7 linked regions of the Macaca fascicularis genome follow. The protein of the gene in region 7 interacts with the protein of the main gene of each other region in a pairwise test. Links are inferred from orthologs where the notes say so. Each region holds a gene or a part of one and is shown on either strand. Other genes may lie near its edges. The genes, in order: PLSCR1, PRMT1, YY1AP1, ATPAF2, SMAD4, MVK and EWSR1.

Region 1 (2,650 bases), on a different chromosome or scaffold from region 7:
AGATACCGGAGCCTCTAGTTATCTAATGAGGGTTACATGTTCATGGTTACATATGGTACATAATTTTAATACCATATTTGTTTCATCTTCAAATTTGAAAGTACTTTTGCTATAAGTTTCCTAAAAATATGTAATACTTTTTTTTCAATTTAGATTAAATCTCTTGATGAACAGTGTGTGGTTGGCAAAATTTCCAAGCACTGGACTGGAATTTTGAGAGAGGCATTTACAGATGCTGATAACTTTGGAATCCAGTTCCCTTTAGACCTTGATGTTAAAATGAAAGCTGTAATGATTGGTGCCTGTTTCCTCATTGTAAGTTTGTTCTTATTAATCTTGATTATAGATGCTTTCTCTATATGCTTTCTACTAATCATTCTGAAATGATTCAGTAAAGTGTATATTTCAAAATGACTTTTTAAAATTTATAGATTTTTAAATCAGGATTCCCATTTAATCCTAGCTCTGAAATTCTATTTGATCCTGACACTCTGGGGTGACTAGTTTCTGTCTGAAGAGTCTATGAATATTCACATGGCAAGAGAGGGACTAAGGAGGCGTACTGAGGAGAGATTTTAGTCTCCCCTTAAATCAGCCATCTCCTACATGCTTTGAAGAAATTGAAAGCGGGCATATGTGGAAAAAATTTAGTGAAACAAGGAAACTTGACCATGACTCATAGTAATTAAATTAAACCATCTAATATAGGAGTATGAACTACAGTAAGAGTGTGCATTCACTCAAGTGTGTAGACCTAACTACCAAATTACAGGAGATAATCGGATATACCAGTGATTCTGAAATTGCCTTCACATTAGAATCACTTAGGGACCTTTAAAAACTGTAAGTACTAGTCCATACCTCAGTTCAACTGAGTCAAACTTCGAAGTTCGTATAGTGCTCCAGGTGGTTCCAATATGCAGCCACAGATGAGAATTATGGGGATAGAGAAAAAGTCACATTTAGAGAAAATAACCGGAAGATTAATTAAATTCATACAGGTATCAATACATGAATAGAATTATAAAATTTATTATTAAAATGGAAAGCTAAAGGTAGAACTTATATAACTATAGAGCTTTTCTGTGTTTATTACATTTAATTTTTTTAACAGATATGTTACTGTGTTTCACTAGATCCCTTAGTATTTCTGCATCTGATCATTGATCTCTGTTTTGTTGCTGAAAATTCATTTGTATATTTTTGTTTTTATCTAGGATTTCATGTTTTTTGAAAGCACTGGCAGCCAGGAACAAAAATCAGGAGTGTGGTAGTGGATTAGTGAAAGTCTCCTCAGGAAATCTGAAGTCCGTAAATTGATTGAGACTATCTAAACTCATACCTGTGTGAATTAAGCTGTAATGCCTGTAGCTCTGGTTGTATACTTTTGCTTTTCAAATTATAGTTTATCTTCTGTATAACTGATTTATAAAGGTTTTTGTACATTTTTTAATACTCATTGTGAATTTGAGAAAAAGGGCATCTGAGTTTTTGCATTTATTAATGAAACTTCCTATAAAAAACTGCTTTGAATTATGATCTCTGATCCACTGTCCATTTTACTACCGAATATTAACTAAGGCCTTATTAATTTTTATATAAATTATATTTTAAATCTAGTTACAATTTATTTCATGCATAATAGCTAATGTTATTTTGCAAATGCCATATATTCAAAAAAGTTCAAAGATAATTTTCTTTACTGTTATGTTCAAATAATATTCAATATGTATATTATCTTTAAAAAGTTAAATGTATTTTTTTAATCTTCAAGAAATCATGCTACACTTAACTTCTCCTAGAAGCTAAGCTGTACCATAAATGATACATTCATGTTCACAAGATATTAAATTACCAGTTTTTAAATTATTGTTAAATAAAGAACAAAATAAAGAACAAAATGATTCTTGTCCAAAGAAAGGCACATTTTAAACACTCCTTCACTCTAAAACTCGTACTATTATAAATTTTGAAAGTTAATATTTATATATGAAATGTATAGCTTTTATACTCTATCCTTTCTAGAAAATGGTAATTTTCAGATGTTAATTAAATATAATATTATATATATATATATATTCACAGAAAATAAACCTAAATAATGATCTATTAGATTCAAATATTTGAAATAAAAACTTGATTTTTTTGTATATTTGACTTTTGTTTTTAAACAAAATGTGTTCAGATGGTATTTTGAACACTCATTCAGTTAAATGATGGTACATTTGAAGCAGGATATTTCCCTGACCCCTTCCTGGGACTCGAGAAGGGGTGTCTTGTTTACTCAGCCTGCCACTCTCAACTCCTCCTGGGAGGGAGTGCGCAGGCAAACAAGGCAGGAACTGGAGTGCACAAGCACTGGAACTGGCTGACCGCTTTGGCACGGGCAAGAGCAAACTCCGTGCACGCCCTGTGGTAGCAACCAGGTGCGGTTGCCTGCGATTCCTGAAGCCCCAGAAGGTGTGTTACGGTGCTCTTTTAGCTCTGCAGTCTGTGGACAGCTTAAGTGTTAACAGCTCCGTGAGCCCTTTGTCTTGTCACGTGGGACAGCTGCCCTCCACCAGCAAGGGCAAAGGGCGAGTGTTAGTGCCTTTTATATCTGCACTCATGGCTCCCAGGCTCTTGTCCGGCGTCCAGGAAAAATGTGGTC
Region 2 (4,134 bases), on a different chromosome or scaffold from region 7:
GAGACGGGGTTTCACCGTGCTAGCCAGGATGGTCTCGATCTCCTGACCTCGTGATCCGCCCGTCTCGGCCTCCCAAAGTGCTGGGATTACGGGCTTGAGCCACCGCGCCCGGCCAATTTTTGTATTTTTAATAGAAATGGGCGTTTCACCATGTTGGCCAGACTGGTGTCGAACTCCTGACTTCAAGTGATCCGCCCGCCTCCGCCTCCCAAAGTGCTGGGATTACAGGCGTGAGCCACTGCGCCCGAATCCTATCGGAAATTTTTAAGTCTCAGGCGTTTGCCAGCGGCACGCCAGAGAGTATAGCCTGCACCGAGGCCCAGAAACCAAAGAGCGAGCTCATTCCGGGATTGGAGAGGAGTGTGAGCGGAGGGAAGCAGAGGGATCAGAGAGAGGAGGGGCAGGACCCACGCATTCGGCCCTTTGCATTCAGCCTTATTCAACTAGGAACTTTTCCTGCAAATCAAGCAAAGCTTCCCGGAGGAAGTGGTGCCTAAGCTGCGCTCTGATTCTCGTTTAGAAGCTGACAAGACAAAGAGAGGTGGGCGGTCCTGGCAGGGGGAGGGACTCGGCAAAAACCAAGTACCTTGAGAGGGGTTGATGGGTTTTAAAAACTTTGAATGATTATGTCAAAGGCTAGGGATTTAATGTGTTAACTGCGGACTCCTATTCCTCACTTGCTTGGGGACCCCAGCGATGCCATTCCTCTCTCTGGGCCTCTCACTTACTCAGTTTTTCTCCCAGGTAATGAGCACAAGCTCCCTTTTTCCTCGAGACTCCCCCCGGGTTGGGAGGATCCACCGAGTGGACTAGGCGTGATCGTTCCTTTGAGCCAATCGTTGGTGCCTGAAGCCCCGCCTTCTTCCCCACCCGTGGGCCAATTGTCGTGTTCTCCTTGAGACTGGCCGCTTGGCGAGGGTGAAAGGCCGCGTGACGTCACTTCCGGATAAACCAATGGCAGCGATTAAGAGGCGGGTCGTTTTGGTGATGGACAGTTGTTTCAAGACGCCCCTTTAGCGCGGGGCTCCCCGGGAAGCTTTGAGGCGGTGCTGGGGGTAAAGGGGCGGGCATTCCTCGTGGATTTTGCCCAATCACCAGTCGCGCTTCTTGCAATAGACGGGCAGTTTTCCCCATCTCGGGTCGACTTGAGGGGGCGGGATTCTGGACGCCAGTGTTGGCAAACCCCTGACCTATGATGGACGTATTCTCCAGCCAATTATCAGACGGTATTCTCAGACGGGCCGCCTCCATTGCCAATGAAATCTTCCAGCGGGGTCGCGGTAGGCGGGCCGTGGACCCTCTGGTATAAGGCGGTCCCGGGGGAGTGAGGAGAAAGGGGGGGTCTTGGCGGCTGGAGGAGGAGTAGTTGCGGGTGAAGATGGCGGCAGCCGAGGCCGCGAACTGCATCATGGAGGTGAGCGCTTGGAGCGCCGCCGTGGGCGGGGGTCGGCTTTGGGTCGATGTTTCACGCCTCTGTGGTGGGAAAAGGGCTCTAAGTTGGCGACATGGGGTTGGAGGTCCCCCGCCGCACACGGGGGCGCCGCACGCTCCACATCCGGGGATATCGTTTGAGGTGACGGCTCCCTAGCTTTCAAGGGCCTTCGGCATCCGGCCTAGCGGAGGGTCTTATCCCCCCTCCCACGTGGAGGAGGGCTGGGGGCGCTTCCGGCCAGGCCCCCACGTGGCCGCGGCGCGGTGGGTGGGGAGGGGGTGTGCCGAGTCCGGTGGCCCGGCGGGCTCCACGTGCGGGACAAAGGCCCCGCCCCCGGCCGGGGAGGGGCGCCCGGGGGGGCGGGGAGGGGGTCCGACCCTCCTGAGGCCCCCAGCCCTCCTACCCAGGGACCCGGGCACACGTCGTGGGGTGGGAGCGACCTGGGGCCCTCCACGATGTAGAGTGTCTTTTGGGAGGAGCAGTGCCTTTTACAACCTCCTTCCGAGCTCCAGGGGCATCTATTGGGATATCGGCCCTGGATTTGTGCGTTCTGGATTAGGGACTGGAGGAAAACCAAGAATGGGGCCCCCCTGACCCCATTTCCCCTCCTAGAGTTCTCCCCCTCACCCAGGGCTTTAGGTGTTGGGGGATGGGGCATGCCCCTGTGACCTCCCTCTGGGTGGTGGTGGGGCATCTAGATGGAGATTTTCCCACTAATAGGCGCCGTGCACCCCCTTGTGGCCATTTCTGGGTGTGTGGGAGGGACATCTTTTTCATGGGGCGTGTCCTGAAGCCCACCTCCCGTCGGATTTCTTCCTGGCGGGCGGAGGGAGGAGGGTACGTCCGCTGGGAAGGAGTTGTGGGAAATACGTAGGCTGAGAGCTTTACCCTCTGCTGGAGCGCTTTCTCTCTCCTGGGCCTTTGTGAGGGCGGGAGATGACCTCCCCCTTCCTGAAGCCCTGTGTAGGGGTCCTGAGCCCCGGGGTCCTGAGGGTGGGTGCCTGAAATGGTTTCAAGTGAGGTTTGGTTCTCGTGCAGCCATGTGGGGGAGGTTTCAGTCTTGCGTTTCAAGCCTTCGGGCTGGGGTTGTCTGGCGGTAGTTTTCAGTGGTGGTGATAAATGGGCCCCAGCGGGAAACCCCCGCAGCACCTTTCTTATAGGCATCCCCGCTGGCTTGGGAGAGCTGGGGGGAGGGTGTTTGGAGCCTAGTAGGTCATGGCCAGTGACGTGGCCCTTCTTGGAGTGGTCACATCTGGAAGAGATGTAATCTGATGGGGCCTCTGTCCTTCCACCCCTTTACCCATGGCATTGACTGGGGGGGCAGGTCAGCTGTAAGCTGTCAGGATGCAGCTCCCAGGGGTCACTGTAATGACTTCGCACCCTCTTGGCTGTCTCCTGCACCTGGGGCTCTGTGGGCGGAGGAAATAACTTTCCCAGAGGTGGCCTCAGGCTTGGCCACACCTGGAAGTCTTCAGGACCTGGGATGGGTGTCTGAAATGGGGGCGATGGGCTGACTCCCCAAGCTACTTTTTTTTTTTTTTTTTTTTTTTTGAGACGGAGTCTTAATCTGTCACCGAGGCTGGAGTGCAATGGCTTGATCTCGGCTCATTGCAACCTCCGCTTCCTGGGTTCAAGCGATTCTCCTGCCTCAGCCTCTTGAATAGCTGGGATGACAGGCACCCGCCACCAGGCCCAGCTAATTTTTGTATTTTTAGTAGAGATGGGGATTCACCATGTTGGTCAGGCCGGTCTCAAACTCCTGACCTAAGGTGACCCACCCGCCTCTGCCTCCCAAACTGCTGGGATTACAGGTGTGAGCCACCGCGCCCCCAAGCCACTTTCTGGAGCCCGCTCATTCTTAAGAGGGTCCAGGAGCTGCCCATCCTCCATGGGACCCTACCTTCATGGGCAGAGGGTCATAAGGGAGCGGGTTGGTTCCAGCTGGTTTTGTTTGGGGCTCCTGAGTCCAAGGCAGGAGCTGGGGGCTGGGGTACTAGCTCTGGGGAAGTGCCCGTGTGCCACACCTCTATTCTGGAATCCTCTCAGACATGAGACTGGTTTGCAGAGGTGGCAGATGCCCTGTGGGCATACCCTGCCAGCCTCGTTCCCTCCTGCTATTCATGGCACCCTGGGATAGGGGTGTGTGTGTCAGGAAGTGTCACCTAATCTGGGGGAGATTAGGTGATGAGAGGGAGCGACAGCTGGCGGGGGTGGGTGCCAGTTCCCCTGGCCTGGATGGGGGAGGTGTGTGGTCAGCTGCCTGGCCAGAGAGGGGCAACAAGGGGGCAGGCCACCATCTCTCCAGCCACAGCTGGGATAGGAGACCCCCTTTCTTCTCCCCTCACTTTTCCCATCCCTTTCTTAAACACCCCACCTCATTACTTGCCCTCTTTGCCACCACTCCCCGCCAAGAAGGAGAATTGCTGGAAACCCCCCCCCACCCCCTCCCACCCCGCCAGAGCCCAGGTCCCCGCGCCCAGCCCTCCCGCAGCCACTCCCAGTAGCTAATCCTTTCTCCCTGTTACTCTCTCCTAGAATTTTGTAGCCACCTTGGCTAATGGGATGAGCCTCCAGCCGCCTCTTGAAGAAGTAAATATCCTTTTGTGAGACCCCTTCCCACCCCGACCTCCACATCAATATATTTTGCCACACATCTGGCCCTTTCTTGAGGTCTAACCATACCCCTCTTGCTTCAAACCAGT
Region 3 (4,087 bases), on a different chromosome or scaffold from region 7:
TCCTGCCTCAGCCTCCTGAGTAGCTGGCACTACAGGCGCCCGCCACCGCGCCCGGCTTATTTTTTGTATTTTTAGTAGAAACGGGGTTTCACCGTGGTCTCGATCTCCTGACCTTGTGATCCGCCCGCCTCGGCCTCCCAAAGTGCTGGGATTACAGGCGTGAGCCACTGCGCCCGGCTTTTTTTTTTTTTTTTTGAGACGGAGTCTCCCTCTGACACCCAGGCTGGAGAGCGGTGGCACGGACTCGGCTCACTGCAACCCCACCTTCCGAGTTCAAGCAATTCTCCTGCCTCAGCCTCCTGAATAACTGGGACTACAGGAGCCCGCCACCACGCCCGGCTAATATTTGTATTTTTAGTAGAGACGGGGGTTTCACCATGTTGGCCAGGATTGTCTCGATCTCTTGACCTTGTGATCCACCCGCCTCGGCCTCCCAAAGTGTTGGGATTACAGGCGTGAGCCACCGCGCCCAGCCCTATCTTATTATTTCACACACCAACCCTGGAGGCATGTTTGGAGTTGCCTAATTTTCATGTACACTTTTTGATAAGGAACTAAGAAAAATAGCTTGCTGAAAACAAGGGAGACTGAGTCCAGAACTGAATGAGAAGCACATGGTTTCTTCATCCTCTATCACCAGGCTGTCTAACGAGGCTGAAGAAGTACTATCCATAAGTAGCGCGTCAGGGGCAAACAAACAAAATCGCATATGGACACTAGTGTGAAATTCGAGAAATCCGAGGCGGGTTAACAACAGCAAGCAGATCACCAGGCCGATCTTCCTCGGGTCCCAGGTTGGCACCACAGCGCCCGGGAGGAATCCCCACGGAGGCACGCCGGTCCTACCGGCCTCACTCCCTACCTCCCGGAGGTCCGGAGTCCCGCTCCTTTCCCTCAGCGATACATCCCCCGTGCCGGTCCACTCCCTCACCGTGAGTCGAGGACTACTTCTCCAGACCAGACGACTGACACACACTGCCAAGGGCCGGTTCCAAAGCGCCCGTCCTGCGACTGCGTAAAAGGCTCGGGTCATCCGGCCGGAAACGACCCAACGCGCAGCCGCCGCGGCCTCCAACCACCGGCCGGCAGAGGGGGCACTAGACAGCCCTCGATCCGCTCGCCGGGGTCCTGTGGAGGAGGAGGCGAGCCGCAGCGCCGCAGGAACGAGCCCAGGGAGGTAGGTTGTCGTGGGACTCGGCCCGCCACCCTGGCAATTCCAGTCAAACGGCAAGCCAGACTCGCTTTGCCGGCCCATTCCTCTCCTGCCCCTGCAGCCGACAGGAATGGAACAGTCCCGCTGGCGGGGGGGACTGTGGAAGGCGCACGCGCGAGGGTTGGAGGGTCGAGGGGGGGGCTGTGCTGGCAGCGGCTTCTTTGGCGGCGGTTGGTGGCCGTGGGGGCGGGAAGAGGAGGTGGAGGAGGCTTGGGCTCGCGCGGCTTAAGGTACGCGTGAGGGCCTGCGCCGGAGCCGGCTTGACAGGGCCTGAGGGAGAGTGGGGGACTGGGCGAGGAGGTTCCCGTGGGTGAGCGCGTACGGGCTGGCTGGCGCGCTGGGCGGCCGAAGGTGGTGGTTGGTGGGAGCAGCCAGCGACTAGCCCGTAGACACTCGTACGCTTGCGGGCGGGCGTGCGCGCTACGCGGCCGGAGTCGGGCGGAGCGGGGGACGGTGGGGAAGAACGCGAGGAGGGAGGAGTGGGAGGTTGGGGGGGCGCTAGACGCCCTTCGCTCCCTCCCTCTGGAGGAGCAGCCGCCGCCACCGCCGCCACTCTGCTGCCGCCGCCGCCGCCGCCGCCGCCGCTCCCGCCGCCATTTTGGGTTCGCTTTGCGGAGGGGAGACGATCCCAGTCTCGGTTGCGGGACCCGCCTCCCCTCAGTTTGCCCCCTTTAGCCTCCACCTTTCCCTTCTCCTCTCTCGCATTTCCGCCAGTCAGCTTACCCGCTGGCCGCCTCCTGACAAGCGGGAGGGATCCGCCGTGGACCCAGGGAAGCGGAGGAGCCTGGCGGCCACCCCCTCTTCCCCACTTCCCTGCACTCTCGTCGCTCTCGGCCTCGGCCTCCGACACGGTGAGTAGAACGATTTGGGCAGGCCTTCGGGCCTAAGCACTCTCTCAGCGATTGAATCCTGGGCTTCCTGGGAGCCACTGTCATCTCCCGGACCTGGACCTCCGGGAGAGCAGTGGTGAAGATGGGGGAGGGGAGAGCAGGGAGGGGGATCCTGAGCCTACCGGGAAGTCCCTCCACGCGGGGTGAAGGGGTGTCCCTGACAGGCGGACTCCCGGAGGGGGCTGGAAAGTAAGCGAGTGGAGGCGGAGCCGTCTGTGCCCCTGACAGGTTAGTTTGTGTTTGTAGGCATGATCGGAGCCTCCCCCATAGTCCAGTTTGTGTGTGTTTAATTAAGGGATAAGAGTGGTCGAGGACACGATCCTGAGAGGGGAGTTTACCTGTGTGACAAGGTCTGTGGTGTCCCTGCCGCGTTGAACGGTATGTAGGAACGGCAGGATGATCTCAGTGTTGTAAGTTTAATAAATGTCACTGATTAGTTTGTACATGGAAAGAGGTGTTTTTGGTCTAGAAGACAGATGGTCTGTTGATGTGTAGCGGCTGTGTTGGTGTGTGTATGCGAGGATGGAAAGTGTTTCCGGAAGAGTTTGCCTTGATTTGTGTAAGTGTAATGGAGTTCCCGTTATAAGTTAGCTTATTTCTTGAATAAATGTTGGGAGGTTCCTTGCAGGTTGATATGTGTGTGTATTTTAGGGATTGGGAGCCCCTAGTTACTTGTTGGGAAAGAGTGGCAATGGTAGTGTTCTATACAGCATGTGTCTGTGAGGTCATGGAGGGGAGAAACTTAGCATAGCCAGTTGTGGTCTTAATAGTTTGTGCCTTTGGTTAGAGTGAGTTGTGTAAATGTGAAGGCCCAAAATATCTTTAACAGAATCATTGCTACAAAGCTGTAAAGAATGGGTGGCCTTATTTGTTGTCGCGGGTTTATAGTAATAGTTTAGAAATACAATAAGAAAGCGCTTTCAATTTCTTTGTGATACTAAATCTCTGTGAAAATGGTAGGATGCTTTCTTCCATTTTACAAAATAGTTAATTTAGGCATAAGGAGAGAACTTCTCCAAGGCCGCATATTAAATTGGTGACAAAGTTGAGACTGTAACTCCCATATTTTCACTACTGCTGCAGCAGTATATTCAGCATACCATGGTGCCTCAGGAAGTCTTTGTCGGCAAATCTGAGTATGTTGGAAAGATAGGAGCACATGTGACTGGTTGGATTGTATTTGGAGGAGACCGATTGTGTCAGATATGTATGTGGAAAGTAGATGTCCTTGCCCGGTCTGACCTGTATGAAATGCATATCCATGGCTATATTATTTTGTTTATGGGGGAAGCAGAGCATTTCTGACACTTGAGGTTGTACGTGTGAGGGAGAGAAGGCTTTCACAGCTTAACCTCTACCAGAGCAGCTGCATGGGTGCTGACAGCTTAACTTGAAATCTGTGGGAGGAAAGATCCTTTTTCATTCATTCAACAAATATTTGTTGACTGCCTGTTCAATAAATCGTCCATGTCTTGGGGTGAGGATAATCATGGTGTCTCTGTAAATAGCCTGGATGCAATATGAGGGGAATTGTTTTGACAGTGGTAGATATTGAGTTGAGTGAAGCAGTGTGGAATTAAAATCAGAGAACTGGTTTTGGGTTCTGGTGATTGTTAATATACGTACCTGTGGATGTTGGAACTTCTTGGCTGGGCTGAAGGAATCCTTTGAAAGATTGATTTCATATAGTAAGAATCCCCTCTGTGAATATAAGGAAAGAGTGCATGAACTAAGCCAACTTAACTGTATTCTTCTGGAAAATGGGATGTTTCTTGATAGGCTAGATTAGTGGTTCTTAAAAGTTTTTGGGGGTCATTTATCCTTCTGAGAATCTGATGAAAGACACTGGGCCCTCAAGTTAGAAGATGAACATAAGCCCAATCACATGATTTATACATATGATTTTAGGAACTTAAAGTGTAATGAAATAGAGCCAATTTATATTTAGGTCTCATTTGAAAACCTTTCATTTTCTTTGTTCGGA
Region 4 (2,307 bases), on a different chromosome or scaffold from region 7:
AGGACTGAGACAGCCTGTCTGCCTAAGAACCACACTCGGGATCCCCACTGCCCTCTTACTGGCGTGACACCAGACAGCACCACCTGCCTCCTGGGACATTAGAGGTGGCTATGTCGGGAGGACCCCTGGGACTCCTGGGTGGGAGATGAGCGGAAACATGCACATCAAGTGACCTCGCCAAGCCTGTCCATTTTCTACTTTCTAGAGTAAATCACTTGTTTTAGAACAGTAGGAACAAATAGAAACAACCAGCTTAAACCACGATCATTTCAAAAGATTGATTAAAAGCCAGCCAAAAAAAGCCTTCAAGTTGAGGCTGAAGAACACAAATAGAGTTGTCTGTGGATGACATGACTGTTTCCCCAGCACAAGGTTCCCAACCACAGGCAGCAGATATCCAAACATGCCATGGGAGATAAGCTGTTTAACCCTCTGGAACCTAGACAAAACAGGAAGAATAGAGAAGTGCAGAAGTGCACGTGAAAACAGGGCTCAGCACATTTCCAGGGTGGAGAAATATTTAATAAAATCAGGGTTGAGAGAAAGTTAGTTGTACAATTCATCTCCCACATTCATTGCTGACCAGGCCAGGGGCACCTGGTTTGAAATCAGGCTGACCTCCGGACAGTCGCACTAGCGCACTGTGTTTCAGGGAAATCTCAGGGTGATGCTGAGGCCGAGGCCCCAAAAGTCAAGTAAGTCAGCCCCACAGGCTGAGGAGCCCTGAAGGTTGGGGGAGCTGTGGCTGCGCTGCCTCTATCCTGCTGAGTGTGTGCTGCCCAGGCCTCACTCGTTCAGGAGCTTGTGCTTGACTGTGGTGCTCTCGGAGCAGAGATGGATGAAGAGGGTGCCGGCAGCGGTGCGGGCCCGCAGCTCCTGCAGCTCGTAGTCATGGGCCCACTCAATGTTGCCCCACTTCTGGATCTGAGGGACAGACAAGACAAGTTGCTGGGTGAGTGGCCAGTGCCTGGCTGCCTCCTGGCCAAAGCCACATTCCATTCCAATAGCTCGGCTGAGGGCAACAGGTTTGGATCTTGCCAAAACACGAGACATGCCTAGAGGGAGGCGGCAGGTAAGAACACCGAGGTGGGCCAGGCACAGTGGCTCACGCCTGTAATCCCAGCACTCTGGGAGGCCAAGGCAGGAAGACTGCTTGAACCCAGGAGTTCAAGATCAGCCTGGGCAAATATGGTGAAACCTCATCTCTACAAAAAGTTTTAAAAATTAGCTGGGTGTGGTGGGGGTGCACCTATAGTCCCAGCTACTTGAGAGGTTGAGGTAGGAGGACTGCTTTGAGCCCAGGAGGTTGAGGCTGCAGTGAGCCAAGATCATACCGCTGCACTCCAACCTGGGCAACACAGCAACACCCTGTCTCAAGAGCACCACACACACACACATACACACACACACAACCACTCAGGGAGCCAGAGCAGGCACCTGTGCTTTCTGTGGCATGGATGGTCTAGAAGAAGTACAGTCCAGGCCCAGGGCCAGTAGCTGCCCACCCACCACTGAGCAGGCTGGGTACCAGAACCACCCATGTGACTTCTTTGAGGAGGCCTGACTTATGTGCCATCCCTTCTCCTACACTTCCTCCCGGGAAGCCTGTGAACGGACAGCCTCTGCAAGTTGCCTTGCCATGCTGGGCTACAAGTGCACCCCGAGCCCCATGTGGGTGGAATAACTAAATCAAGCAAGGCCATGCAGTGGCTTCAACTCTAACTCTTGTGGTAGTCACAGAACTACAGATGCCTCTGCTCTGCACACTGGGGACACGTTGCAGATTCTCTGTCTGGAGCTCTTTTTTTTTTTTTTTTGAGACGGAGTCTCGCTCTGTCGCCCAGGCTGGAGTGCAGTGGCCGGATCTCAGCTCACTGCAAGCTCCGCCTCCCGGGTTTACGCCATTCTCCTGCCTCAGCCTCCCAAGTAGCTGGGACTACAGGCGCCCGCCACCTCGCCCGGCTAGTTTTTTGTATTTTTAGTAGAGACGGGGTTTCACCATGTTAGCCAGGATGGGTCTGGAGCTCTAAAAACAAGAGGGAGGAACCCTCAGACACACGGTGTGGCTGTCCAGACAGTGTAACTCCAACCAGACCCTGCTGGCTCCTCCCTGGCTAGTTGCCCAAGAGGCCTGGCCTGGCCGCCCCAGCTCATCCAGGAACTCAGAATCTGCCATGCTACACAAGCTATTTGAACTTCTGGGCTGCCTGGTCCCAAACTGTACAATTGTAATAAGTCATCTGAAGAGTATTCCATACTTTCATTGTATACCATCACATACATAATTCAGGTTATTCCTCTGTTTGT
Region 5 (3,500 bases), on a different chromosome or scaffold from region 7:
AAACTTACAGTATTTACAGTATTTGATTATTAAAATCTACCCAATAAATACCAGGATAAAATTAGCTGCATTTCATTTATATCACTTTTTCTAATCTTTGCATAGGACTCAACCTTAGGGAATAAAACAGTCAAAATGAAGTCACTTTAGCAAGCATTAACAAAGGTACAGAAATTCAATCTCCAGATAATATAAACAGAAGTAGGTAGCTGTGCTCTAGCACTAATCTACGTTCAAGTGGCTATAATGTACCTTCTTTCATTTTCTATCACTACCCACTGTTTATCAACCATATTCCTAATTTGGTAAATAAAAAGTAGACAGATAACAGAAGAACCAAGTGATTAAGGATCTGGGTTCTCAAGTACTTAACCTATATGACCCATTTAGTATATGCTGCCTATAGTGAGACCGTCATCTCTTATATAGCAAACCAAAAACATATTGCTTTGAAGTGGTGTAATGAATTAAAGAGGGGAAATTTTTGTATACTTCACTTGAAAACTCACAATTACAGAAATCAGTCCCCCATTTATTCCAAAGATCAAAATTTCTATGTTGAATCTAATCTGATAGTAAAGCAAATAGAATAATGGTACTTTTGGCAGCAACTAACACAGTATTAGACCAGAGCTGTCAAAAATCTATTCTAATGTAGGTTTACATATAATTCCTTTAGCAATTGCATGCAACTAACACCATACACATGCCAAGACAATGCACTATGATTAACTGGGAAAAAAAAAAAAAAAAAAAGCAAAAAAAGCTACTTCATTTGCAAGGCAGCAAACTATCAAACCTTTGGTTACTGTGAAAATAAGTAACAGAACCAGGTCATATCATCAGGCCCCAAAAAACCTAAACCTAGCAGCCCCTTTACCTCCTATGACATGGCAGAAAAGAAGGATCCTTCTGAAACAGACTAATTTTTTTAAAATACAGACAAAAATTTTAAAAGAGATATAGAAGTTAGCTTACATCAAAATTGACTTAATTACTTAATGTCTATCTTGAGCAATACATAACAAATTTGTCAAGATCCCTTTGCACAGTGAGAAAATAAGACAACTACTATAAGGTAATATTCTCCCAGATAAACCAAAATAAGAACACTGGATTAAAAGAAAGGTTGCAATTCCATTAACACAGACCTTCATAAACATCTTGGATCAAAACTACTTATTATTTAAATATTTCTCCAAAATCTATCTGAGAGCTTCAGAGGCTACTTACTTCTACATGTAATAGTAAAGTTCAAATCAGATCACTAATTTGAATCAATATTCTAATCAAAGCCATTAAATTCCAAGCGATTGTACATACCTGTCTAACACCTGTTTACCTATGAAAGATACCACAGTTACTTTTAATGTTTACTTACTTGGAGTTTCCCCCCAAATAACTACACATAAATAAGCAATGATTAGGAAAACTCAACTTGCTGACTACATCTGATTCTAGAACTCACTTGTGGAAGCCACAGGAATGTTGGGAAAGTTGGCAGTGCTGGTAGCATTAGACTCAGATGGGGCTAACAGAGCTGGGGTGCTGTATGTCTCTGTTGACGCACGATTACTTGGTGGATGCTGGATGGTTTGAATCGAATGTCCTTCAGTGGACAACGATGGCTGTCCCTCAAAGTCATGAACATATTCATCCTTCACCATCATACTTGAAGGAGCTATGTAGAAAATTAAACGTATTTTAAATTTTTATAAGCTTCTATCCCCAGAAAAAAGAAATCTTATTAGCAAGTAATATAACATCTAAAATCAATTACAGTGTAAATAACTTTAAATCAGAATTTTTTCATATTATTTTAAAAGCATACTACTTTACCAGCAAGTCATTTATTTAATGGTAACAGCATCAGATATATTTTATCCATCAATCTGACTCTCAAATTCGAAGCTAGTCTACGTTCCAACAGCCTCCAGCAACAATCCTAAAAAGGTACTCCTCAGTTTCTTGAGAAACGTAGAATAATCATCACCTAAATACATAAGGCAGGCAAAAACCAAAAGGCTGGAAAATGTGTATCCAGCTGAGAAAAACAATTATTTGGTCTAAATCGAGATTGAGTATTTAACTACATCCTTTTGCTAATTTCACACTGTGGAGATATCAGTGGGATCTGACAGATATCCAATTCCAGGATCTAGAATTATTGTTAAGTAACATATTCTTTAAAAATGAAGTGTACTGAATGTCCCCTATAGATTTAGAACCAAACAGAAAAATTCTAAATGAAAAGTCAAGCTGAAATTTCCCTCTAGAAACCCAACCCAAATAAGAGTATTTGATAAACATATGGTGTGAGAAAACTCAGTAATCAATCTTTCACCTATGTGGTTACACCTTCATAAGTAAAGCTAGATTCCAGCTGATATAGCATAACACCTTTCCATTAACAAACCAGGAAATAGTTTGCTCTGTTGTATGAGAAAAAGAAAACTGAAACTGAACTGCATAAATGTTAATTCTCTGCCTGGAACCTTCCTTTTGGTTCTAGGTTATTGTTTTAAGGTTTGCTTTTTATGTTTAACAACCAATCCTTTATTGCTTCTGAACTAACACTACTCCAGAACTTAACAATCCACTGAACTAATAGTAGGTTCTCTTCTTAAAGCAGTAAATTAGTAGACCACAAAAAGACATTCCCTTTTTCATTAAGAACCAGCATATCATTTCCCTTATCTTTCCCTATGTCAACCTTTGAAAAAAATCTACATGTAAATATCAGTTAAGTTACATGGGTATTTTTTATTAAATTGAGACTATTTCAAGGCAGTAATAATCATCCATTGTGCAAGTTTCTATGTGCAACCTCTTAAAAACCTCTTAAGAAGTACGTTCATGCATCAAAAGTCATGACGATGATATTCTGAAGACCCCATAAATCCCATTCCAAAGTTCCTCTTTATAAATTTTACAGAAACAAAAAGATAATCAAAAGGATGTTTAACAAATTATGTATCGATAAAAAAACTGAACACAATCACTCATCACTAACATTGGCCAAATTATAAAAATAATAAAAAGAAAAAAAATGGGGCATAAAATTGGTATGTCTACACTTATTCAGCCTTGTATTATACCCTTCAACAAAGTTCAATGATTTTCTTCATATAAATCCTGACATCTCTAAATAATTCCTGGACATTTTAGGTTTTCTGTTGTTATAACGGCCAGGATCTTTTTACCGACTTACTGGTTTTGCTAGCTGATTTGAGGATACAACTGGTCAATTTGGTACTCACTGCTTTTGCTTTTCAGGTGACTCTTCAGTGTAATCAGCAATCATAATATCTTTAAGTACCTACTGCATTCTGCTTTTAAACAGTTATGACTCATAAATCTTTCTTGCCTTAAATATGCTGGCTAAACTTCCCAAATGTAAGTTTGAAACCTCTACTGGTCTACAGATTTCTTTAACCCCAGATAATCCATAATGTTTCTCAGGTAAAACTGAAGGTATCAACAAGTATAGAAATCTGCAA
Region 6 (4,109 bases), on a different chromosome or scaffold from region 7:
CCGGGCTCAAGCAATCCTCCCATCTCAGCCTCCCCAGTAGCTGGAACCACAAGTGTATACCACCACACTCGGCTAATTTTTTTTTTTTTTTTTTTTTTTGGTAGAGACGGGTTCACCATGTTGCCTAGGCTGGTTTTGAACTCCTGAGTTCAAGCAATACGGCTACCTCAACCTCCCAAAGTGTTGTGATTACAGGTGTGAGCCACCATACCTGGCCTATGATTATTTTGTTCACAGACAGGGTCTTGCTCTGTTGCCTAAGCTGGAATGCAGTGCAGTGGCATGATCATAGCTCACTGCAGTCTTGAACTCCTGGGCTCAAGGGATCCTCCTGCCTCAGCCTCCCAAGTAGCTAGGACTCTTAACTCTATCCTACCCAAATTCTTACCTTACACTCCACCAACTTAGGGCCTCTTGCAGGAAAAGAAGCCTGAGCCACTTCCATACTATGAGGCTTCGAGTGTACTCAGAGATGAAGAATTGCCAAAATACAGCTCAAAAAGTGGCATTTTCAAATAACAATGTAAACAACTCAGTGACATAGCTCAAAATTAAAATGTGACACTACAAGGCCATTCGAAGGTTAATTTCCTGGATCTGTGAACTAAATTAATCCATTATTAATCCACGGTACTCTAGAGGTTCTGAGGTCTGGGTTGGGTGCAAGTTTCAAGGTGTATGAGGAAAGCCATCTTTAGAAGGTGCTGGTGTATCTGGGACCTGGGGGATAAACTGCTATGGAAATTGGTCACAATCTGAGTCGAGAGCCCTGCTGGCCCACACGGGATATGCCATGCCCTGCCCGATGACAGCCGGGTTTCACTGGGACTTAGGCAAAGACTACCTGGTCTCTGGCGCCCACGTGGTCCACGTTGCCACGGTGACGTCAGGACAGCGTGGAGACGTCACCGGACGGGTGCCGCCGTGACCTCACGACGGTGTGACGTACCCATGACGACGACACCACGATTCAAAGCAGGTGTTCGAGTTACCCTTCCTGCCAGCCACTCACCTGTCCCCGTCTTCCACGCCCTGAGGGCTGCAGCTCTGGAAACGGGGATACAGGAGCCTGGCGGCGCCGAAGCATCCGCGCAGGCCAAGACGACTCCCCAGGCCCCACACAGCCATCAGCCAGGCTTCTTGATGGGAGCTGACCCCGCCAGGTTCCCGTCCAGGCCCCGGAGTGACTCCACCCACAGCTGGCCGCGCCACCGCTCAGCTGTCAATTTTCATTGGCTCGAGGTTCTCGCCCCAGGGCGGGACACTCCCAGGGACTTGTTTCCCATTGGTTTGACGGAAGAAGCGGGGCGGGAAAACCCGTGCCGGCTTGGCTGCATCACCACCAATGTTCAAGCCTATTGGTAAAAGTACGCCAGACTTGCGCGCTCTGATTGGCTGGGCTGAAGGCCAAGGCCTCCTCCCCTTGAGGCACGGGCGCTCTAGGCTGCAGGAGTCCGGGAGCTGCTCCGGCTCCGGCGCGGAGTGGCGGCAGCCGGGGCGTGGGCGGCGGCGGCGGCGACAGGTGAGAGGCCGGGGTCGCGGGGCCGGGTGGCGCGAGGTCCTAGACCCAGGACGGCCTTGAGCCGGGCGCCCAGTTTCTGTGGCTCAGTTTCTCCAGCTCTGAGAGTCAGCCCCGAGGGGTCGGCGACCTCAATCTGACAGTCGTGATTTTGAGCTTGGGACAAGCAAGGGGAATCCCCGCTTTGAGCCTCAGTTTTTCTAAGAAGTGGGGATCACGATAGTACTTAGCTCGTAGTGCACTTGAATCTTAGTGTAAGGTAATCAACGTAAAACCTTAAGCGGGGAATAATTTTGCGTTATTTATAAAAGTGTAAATTGCACACACCTGTAGACCCTGCAAGCCCCTTTCTAGGACTCTGTCCTGCAGAAATACTCATTTAAGTGTGCAGAACGAGGCGTACTGGGTGTTTTCTGTGGCCTTGTTTATAATCGTGACACGTTGGAAACAGCCTAAATGTCCAGCAAAGAGTTCTTTCTGCTCCATGATTTCATGTAATTTCTACTTTCAGTAGTAGTAGTTGTAAAAGCTGAAACGAAGAACAGAGCCAGTAATAAGTAGCTCTCAGTAATTGAATGATTAGTAGGTGCCAGACACTGCTAAGTGTTTCCCTTGAGTTAATTTAACCTTCCTAACATCCACTGAGGTGCGTACGGTTATTTTCTGTCCATATAACGTGGTGGGAAACCGATGTTCATAGCCGTTTAAGTGAGTTAGCTAAGACGACATCACTGGGGAGTGGAATAGCTGGGATTTGAACCCAGATCTGTTGGATGTGTCCAGTTGATTGCTGCATTGCCTTTCTGGCACATAGCAAGTGCTGGACGGTGTCTACCTTTTTTGTTATTATGATGGGCTTGAACTAGGTGTTCTAAGATCTCTTCCTGATGGTTCTGACATCTGGAGATCTTTGCTCTTCTCACTGGCTTTCCCTTTTAGGATTCCCAGGAGCCATGTTGTCAGAAGTCCTACTGGTGTCTGCTCCGGGGAAAGTCATCCTTCATGGAGAACATGCCGTGGTACATGGCAAGGTACAAAGCCGTTAGAGCCTTTAAGGATTGGGTACCCCTTCTCCCTGATACTAATTTTGCAGGACACCTGAAGCACAGCTTGGGAGCAGATCAGAGATGTCAGTTTCTCCTCAGCCAGGCAAGGAAAAGGTATCTTATGCCCACTGAAGGGATTCTCAGGCCTCACTCGGTATGATAGCAAAAAGATGGGATATAAAGCCCTATGAGTGGAATGAGATCACCTAGGAGTGAGCTTTGATGCAGAAGGAAGAGGTTTGAGAACTGAGCTCCGGGGCACTAAGACATGGAGAAGTTGGAAGGATGATCTAGCAAAGGAGTCGGAAACATCCATTACCTCATTTTACCCTTACCCCGAAGGCATACCCTTTTATTACCCTGTTTTACAAATGTGCAAACCGAGGCTTAGGAGAGAAGTGGTAACTTGATCCAAGTCCTATATACCTTGGTAGAGCTTGGTGTGAACCTAAGTCTGTCTTAGGTTCTACTCCTGCTGCACTCTGCTTTTTTTTTTTTTTTTTTTTTTTTTCCTGAGATCGCTGGAGCGCAATCTTGTGATCACGGCTTACTGCAGCCTCCAACCTCAGCCTCCCGAGTAGCTGGGACCACAGGTGTGTACCACCACACCCTACTAATTTTTTCTTTTGTTTTTTTTGTAAAGACGTGGTTTGACACCAGGCTGGTCTCAAACTCCTGGGCTCAAGTGATCCTCCTGCTTTGGCCTCCCAAACTGCTGGGATTACAGATGTGAGCCACTACACCTGGCCTCTCACTGCTATTCTTTATGTTCTTATATTTCTCATTGAAAACATGGTGATTATGGGGAAGTGATTCCTTGGTGTTGAGAACCTGTGAAATTTTTCAGGAAGAAGGCAAAGTGGATGTTAACTTTTAGTTGATCGATGGTGGCTGTCCCCAGGCTTAGTGGGAGAGCATGCCAAAGTTGGTTAGCAGTGTCTGGCAAGGGCATGGCTGGGAGTGGCCTTTGTGCTCATGTTTGCTCTCTTGTTAGCATGTGGGCCCTGGCTCCTTTGCCACTCACCCTCAGGCTTATTGCTTTTGTCCTTTATTCTACAGGTAGCACTGGCTGTAGCCTTGAACTTGAGAACATTTCTCCGGCTTCAACCCCACAGCAATGGGAAAGTGGACCTCAGCTTACCCAACATTGGTATCAAGTGGGCCTGGGATGTGGCCAGGCTTCAGCTACTGGACACAAGCTTTCTGGGTGAGTGCAAGGAGGAGAAATCGTAAGAGCCTTACCAGAGGTGGTGAGAGCCTACAGAGAGGGCAGCTGGCCAGGTATTCCAGGCTGTCCCCCGCCAAGGGAGCCAGGGGCCAGCTATTGCCAGCGTGTTTTCTACCCTGACCTTATAAAATTAGCTTCACTTATTTATTTTGTTTAATTTAAAAGTGTAAAACAATGCATTGGATCTGTGTGGGCCGTTGTGGACAGATCATCAAGGCCTATTGTTGAGTGAAAAAAAAATGCAAAACAGCAAACATAGGTATTTAAGTATAAATATGTGTATAAATGATAGAAAAGATCTCGGGGACATAGACAT
Region 7 (3,500 bases):
GTCTCGATCTCTTGACCTCGTGATCTGCCCGCCTCAGCCTCCCAGAGTTCTGAGATTACAGGTGTGAGCCAAGGCGACAGGCCAATTTTTTTGTGTTTCTAGTAGAGACAGGGTTTCTCCATGTTGGCCAGGCTGGTCTCGAACTCCTGGCATCGGGCAATCCACCTGCCTTGACCTCCCAAAGTGCTGGGATTACAGGCATGAGCCACCACACCCGGCATCTTTTGAGATGGAGTCTCTCTGTCACCCAGGATGGAGTACACGATTAACAGCTCACTACAACCTTCACCTCCCATGCCCCAGCGGTCCTCCCACCTCAGCCTTCCAAGTAGCTGAGGCCACAGGCATATACCACCATACTTGGATAACATTTTTCTATTTCTGTAGAGGTGGGGTCTCCCTATATTACCCAGGCCAGTCTCAAACTCCTGGGCTCAAGCCATCCTCCTACCTTAGCCTCCCAAAGTGCTGGGATTACAGATGTGAGCCACCATGTTTGCCCTGGTCTGTTTTTAATAAATAAGAATCATAAACCTGCAAATTCTCTAAATTTATGATGCCATGGACTTACGTAAATGTTACTCCAAACTAAAACTTACATTATTGTTAGTTTCTAGTCTTCAGCAGTCCCCTTTGAGAAAAAGCATTTATTCCCTAACAGATCACGTCTCCCGGATCACCTAAACTGGTAGGACAGAATATCACAACGCTCTTTTATAGCTTTTACTGTGATGAATGGCACATATTAATGTCTCTTCTGTGGATATAATTGGTTCTTCCCCTTTCTTAGCATTGTCTTCAAGCAAATATAGTTGGACCAGCACTCAGTTTGATGTAGTTTACTTTAGGATTGTATTTATTGTATTTATTTCCAGGCTTAATCATAACATTGCTTATTGCTTATGGATTTATAGCATTCTTACCCAGGAGTTTTGTGGTTGGCAGACCACACAAAAAAAGTCACTGTGTAATTTTATTTATTTTTTATTTCTCCTCTTAGACCACAGGATGGAAACAAGCCCACTGAGACTAGTCAACCTCAGTCTAGCACAGGGGGTTACAACCAGCCCAGCCTAGGATATGGACAGAGTAACTACAGTTATCCCCAGGTACCTGGGAGCTACCCCATGCAGCCAGTCACCGCACCTCCATCTTACCCTCCTACCAGGTCAGTCTACTTTCTGTAGCAAAACAAAAACAGTGACAAAACAGTTGTTTTCAGGTTGTTGACCAGCTTGCTTTGACCTCTTCAGGTAAGGTATGTTGTCTGACTGTCGGAGTAATAAGTCATCTGATCATACTTAGTTACATTAAAGTCTCAGTTCTAGGGTCCCGTAGTGTTGCCTGGCAGCTAATAACTAAACTTTCTAAATACAGACAAAAACATTTTTATCACTCTAAGTTCTTCCTTTAAGGTTCTTCCTTTTGCTGTTTTAGTTAACTCAGATAAGAAGCAGAAGTATATGAAAGCATGTAAATAGAACCATAAGAGCCACCTTCCCCAATGCAGTTAGGATAAGTAAAGTGCAGGGCATTATAAATCACCTTTTACATTATAAATCACATTTTACATTTTACCTAATGCATAAAGGTTCATTCATGCTCTAACCTTTTAATGTTTGGGCAATTCATTTTATTTTTATTTTTATTATTATTATTGTCTGGCCAAGTTTTCTTTTTTGAGACAGTCTCACTCTGTTGCACAGGCTGGAGTGCAGTGGCACGATCTCCACTCACTGCAACCTCTGTCTCCCAGGGATTCTCATGCCTCAGCCTCCCAAGTAGCTGGGACTACAAGTGCACGCCACCACGCCTGACTCATTTTTGTTTTTGTTTTATTGTTGTTTTGAGATGGAGTTTCACTCTTGTTGCCCATGCTGGAGTGCAATGGTACGATCTCAGCTTACTGCACTCTCCACCTCCCAGGTTCAAGCGATTCTCCTACTTCAGCCTCCCGAGTAGCTGGGATTACAAGTGCTCACTACTATACCTGGCTAATTTTTATTTATTTATTTATTTTTTAATTTTTTTTTTTTTTTTTTTTTTTTTTTTTTGAGACGGAGTCTCGCTCTGTCGCCCAGACTGGAGTGCAGTGGCGCGATCTCGGCTCACTGCAAGCTCCGCCTCCCGGATTCACGCCATTCTCCTGCCTCAGCCTCCCGAGTAGCTGGGACTACAGGCGCCCGCCACCACGCCCGGCTAATTTCTTTTTGTATTTTTAGTAGAGACGGGGTTTCACCGTGTTAGCCAGGATGGTCTCGATCTCCTGACCTCGTGATCCGCCCGCCTCGGCCTCCCAAAGTGCTGCGATTACAGGCTTGAGCCACCGCGCCCGGCCTATTTTTTAATTTTTATATTTTTAGTAGAGACAGGGTTTCACCATGTGGACCAGGCTGGTCTGGAACTCCTGACCTCAAGTGATCCACCTGCCCCGGCCTCCCAAAGTGCTGGGATGACAGACGTGAGCCACTGCACCCAGCCAGTTTGTTTCTTTTGAGACGGAGTTTCGCTCTTGTTGCCCAGGCTGGAGTGCAACGGTGCGATCTCGGCTCACCACAACCTCTGCCTCCTGGGTTCAAGTGATTCTCCTGCCTCAGCCTCCCGAGTAGCTGGGATTAGAGACAGGTGCCACCACGCCCAGCTAATTTTGTATTTTTAGTAGAGACAGGGTTTCTCCATGTTGGTCAGGCTGGTCTTGAACCCCCAACCTCAGGTGATCTGCCCGCCTCGGCCTCCCATAGTGCTAGGAATACAGGCATGAGCCACTGCACCTGGCCCAGTTTTTGTATTTTTAGTAGATACAGGGTTTCACAATGTTGGCCAGACTGGTCTTGAACTCCTGGCCTCAAGTGATCCGCCTACCTTGGCCTCCCAAAGTACTGGGATTATGGGACTACAGGTGTGAGCCACCATGCCCAGCCTGCAAGTTTTTTAACCCATGTTTAATTAGATGTGGGTTTTCAAATTGTTTGAATTGTGCCTTAAAAGTTTTGCTAGAAGTAGCAGTTCCCTTTTTTGCACTTATTTCATTTTTTTGCAGCAGATGTGAACAGGTTTAGGAACAAGTAGAATTGATTGGGTGTCTCTCATTACAGCCAGCTTGGAGCAAAAGTGGGCAGGGCTTACAACTCTTCTTCCACAGAGCAGGTTCGTACCTATTGTGTTGAGAGTAGTTAATCTGGCAAGTTGGATAGGTACACAGTGAGACACTACTGAATTCATACAGCAATGGTGAGGGATGTGGTGTATTAGAAGCTTTGTTAGTCTGTTTCTTTGTTTGTTTATTTTTGGAGACCAGGTCTCACTCTGTTGTCCAGGCATGGGATACAGTGACACAGTCATAGTCCCCTGTAGCCTCGAACTTCCTGGTGTAGTTTAATCGGATTTTAAAATATGTATCCTTATTGTTTCATATCATGATTTGTGAAGCCTAATACCAGATGATTTTTTTTTGTTTTTGTGGTTTTGACTTTTTTTGTTTTTGTGGGTTTTTTTTTTTT

The links.
Region 1: the proteins of EWSR1 (region 7) and PLSCR1 interact in binary tests that used the Homo sapiens proteins (3 or more experiments, as listed by UniProt). The two-hybrid records come from large-scale screens. The link is inferred for Macaca fascicularis from reciprocal best matches to the Homo sapiens genes EWSR1 and PLSCR1.
Region 2: the proteins of EWSR1 (region 7) and PRMT1 interact in a two-hybrid assay, tested with the Homo sapiens proteins (2 studies listed by BioGRID and IntAct). The link is inferred for Macaca fascicularis from reciprocal best matches to the Homo sapiens genes EWSR1 and PRMT1.
Region 3: the proteins of EWSR1 (region 7) and YY1AP1 interact in a two-hybrid assay, tested with the Homo sapiens proteins (2 studies listed by BioGRID and IntAct). The link is inferred for Macaca fascicularis from reciprocal best matches to the Homo sapiens genes EWSR1 and YY1AP1.
Region 4: the proteins of EWSR1 (region 7) and ATPAF2 interact in binary tests that used the Homo sapiens proteins (3 or more experiments, as listed by UniProt). The two-hybrid records come from large-scale screens. The link is inferred for Macaca fascicularis from reciprocal best matches to the Homo sapiens genes EWSR1 and ATPAF2.
Region 5: the proteins of EWSR1 (region 7) and SMAD4 interact in binary tests that used the Homo sapiens proteins (3 or more experiments, as listed by UniProt). The link is inferred for Macaca fascicularis from reciprocal best matches to the Homo sapiens genes EWSR1 and SMAD4.
Region 6: the proteins of EWSR1 (region 7) and MVK interact in a two-hybrid assay, tested with the Homo sapiens proteins (2 studies listed by BioGRID and IntAct). The two-hybrid records come from large-scale screens. The link is inferred for Macaca fascicularis from reciprocal best matches to the Homo sapiens genes EWSR1 and MVK.

The regions. Positions count from the first base shown.
Region 1 is NC_088376.1:49,326,399-49,329,048, reverse strand, and holds the end of PLSCR1 (phospholipid scramblase 1), read left to right. Parts: intron 1-153; coding exon 154-315; intron 316-1,217; coding exon 1,218-1,274; 3' UTR 1,275-2,150; downstream 2,151-2,650. UniProt on the Homo sapiens protein: Catalyzes calcium-induced ATP-independent rapid bidirectional and non-specific movement of phospholipids (lipid scrambling or lipid flip-flop) between the inner and outer leaflet of the plasma membrane resulting in collapse of the phospholipid asymmetry which leads to phosphatidylserine externalization on the cell surface.
Region 2 is NC_088393.1:57,649,796-57,653,929, forward strand, and holds the start of PRMT1 (protein arginine N-methyltransferase 1), read left to right. Parts: upstream 1-1,334; 5' UTR 1,335-1,378; coding exon 1,379-1,573; intron 1,574-3,965; exon of another isoform or gene 3,966-3,967; coding exon 3,968-4,021; exon of another isoform or gene 4,022-4,025; intron 4,026-4,134. UniProt on the Homo sapiens protein: Arginine methyltransferase that methylates (mono and asymmetric dimethylation) the guanidino nitrogens of arginyl residues present in proteins such as ESR1, histone H2, H3 and H4, FMR1, ILF3, HNRNPA1, HNRNPD, NFATC2IP, SUPT5H, TAF15, EWS, HABP4, SERBP1, RBM15, FOXO1, CHTOP, MAP3K5/ASK1, MICU1 and NPRL2.
Region 3 is NC_088375.1:105,421,265-105,425,351, forward strand, and holds the start of YY1AP1 (YY1-associated protein 1), read left to right. Parts: upstream 1-1,299; intron 1,300-1,336; exon of another isoform or gene 1,337-1,523; intron 1,524-1,805; exon of another isoform or gene 1,806-1,927; 5' UTR 1,928-2,064; exon of another isoform or gene 2,065-2,265; intron 2,266-4,087. Other genes in the region: DAP3 (small ribosomal subunit protein mS29), read right to left, coding at 932-1,255. UniProt on the Homo sapiens protein: Associates with the INO80 chromatin remodeling complex, which is responsible for transcriptional regulation, DNA repair, and replication. Enhances transcription activation by YY1. Plays a role in cell cycle regulation.
Region 4 is NC_088390.1:18,133,044-18,135,350, forward strand, and holds the end of ATPAF2 (ATP synthase mitochondrial F1 complex assembly factor 2), read right to left. Parts: intron 925-2,307; coding exon 787-924; 3' UTR 501-786; downstream 1-500. UniProt on the Homo sapiens protein: Plays a role in the assembly of the F1 component of the mitochondrial ATP synthase (ATPase).
Region 5 is NC_088392.1:38,670,748-38,674,247, forward strand, and holds part of SMAD4 (mothers against decapentaplegic homolog 4), read right to left. Parts: intron 1,682-3,500; coding exon 1,469-1,681; intron 1-1,468. UniProt on the Homo sapiens protein: In muscle physiology, plays a central role in the balance between atrophy and hypertrophy. When recruited by MSTN, promotes atrophy response via phosphorylated SMAD2/4.
Region 6 is NC_088385.1:116,439,316-116,443,424, forward strand, and holds the start of MVK (mevalonate kinase), read left to right. Parts: upstream 1-1,309; 5' UTR 1,310-1,345; coding exon 1,346-1,522; intron 1,523-2,458; exon of another isoform or gene 2,459-2,472; coding exon of another isoform or gene 2,473-2,550; intron 2,551-3,624; coding exon 3,625-3,772; intron 3,773-4,109. Other genes in the region: corrinoid adenosyltransferase MMAB, read right to left, coding at 1,013-1,128. UniProt on the Homo sapiens protein: Catalyzes the phosphorylation of mevalonate to mevalonate 5-phosphate, a key step in isoprenoid and cholesterol biosynthesis.
Region 7 is NC_088384.1:22,388,233-22,391,732, reverse strand, and holds part of EWSR1 (RNA-binding protein EWS), read left to right. Parts: intron 1-1,000; coding exon 1,001-1,168; intron 1,169-3,500. UniProt on the Homo sapiens protein: Binds to ssRNA containing the consensus sequence 5'-AGGUAA-3'. Might normally function as a transcriptional repressor. EWS-fusion-proteins (EFPS) may play a role in the tumorigenic process.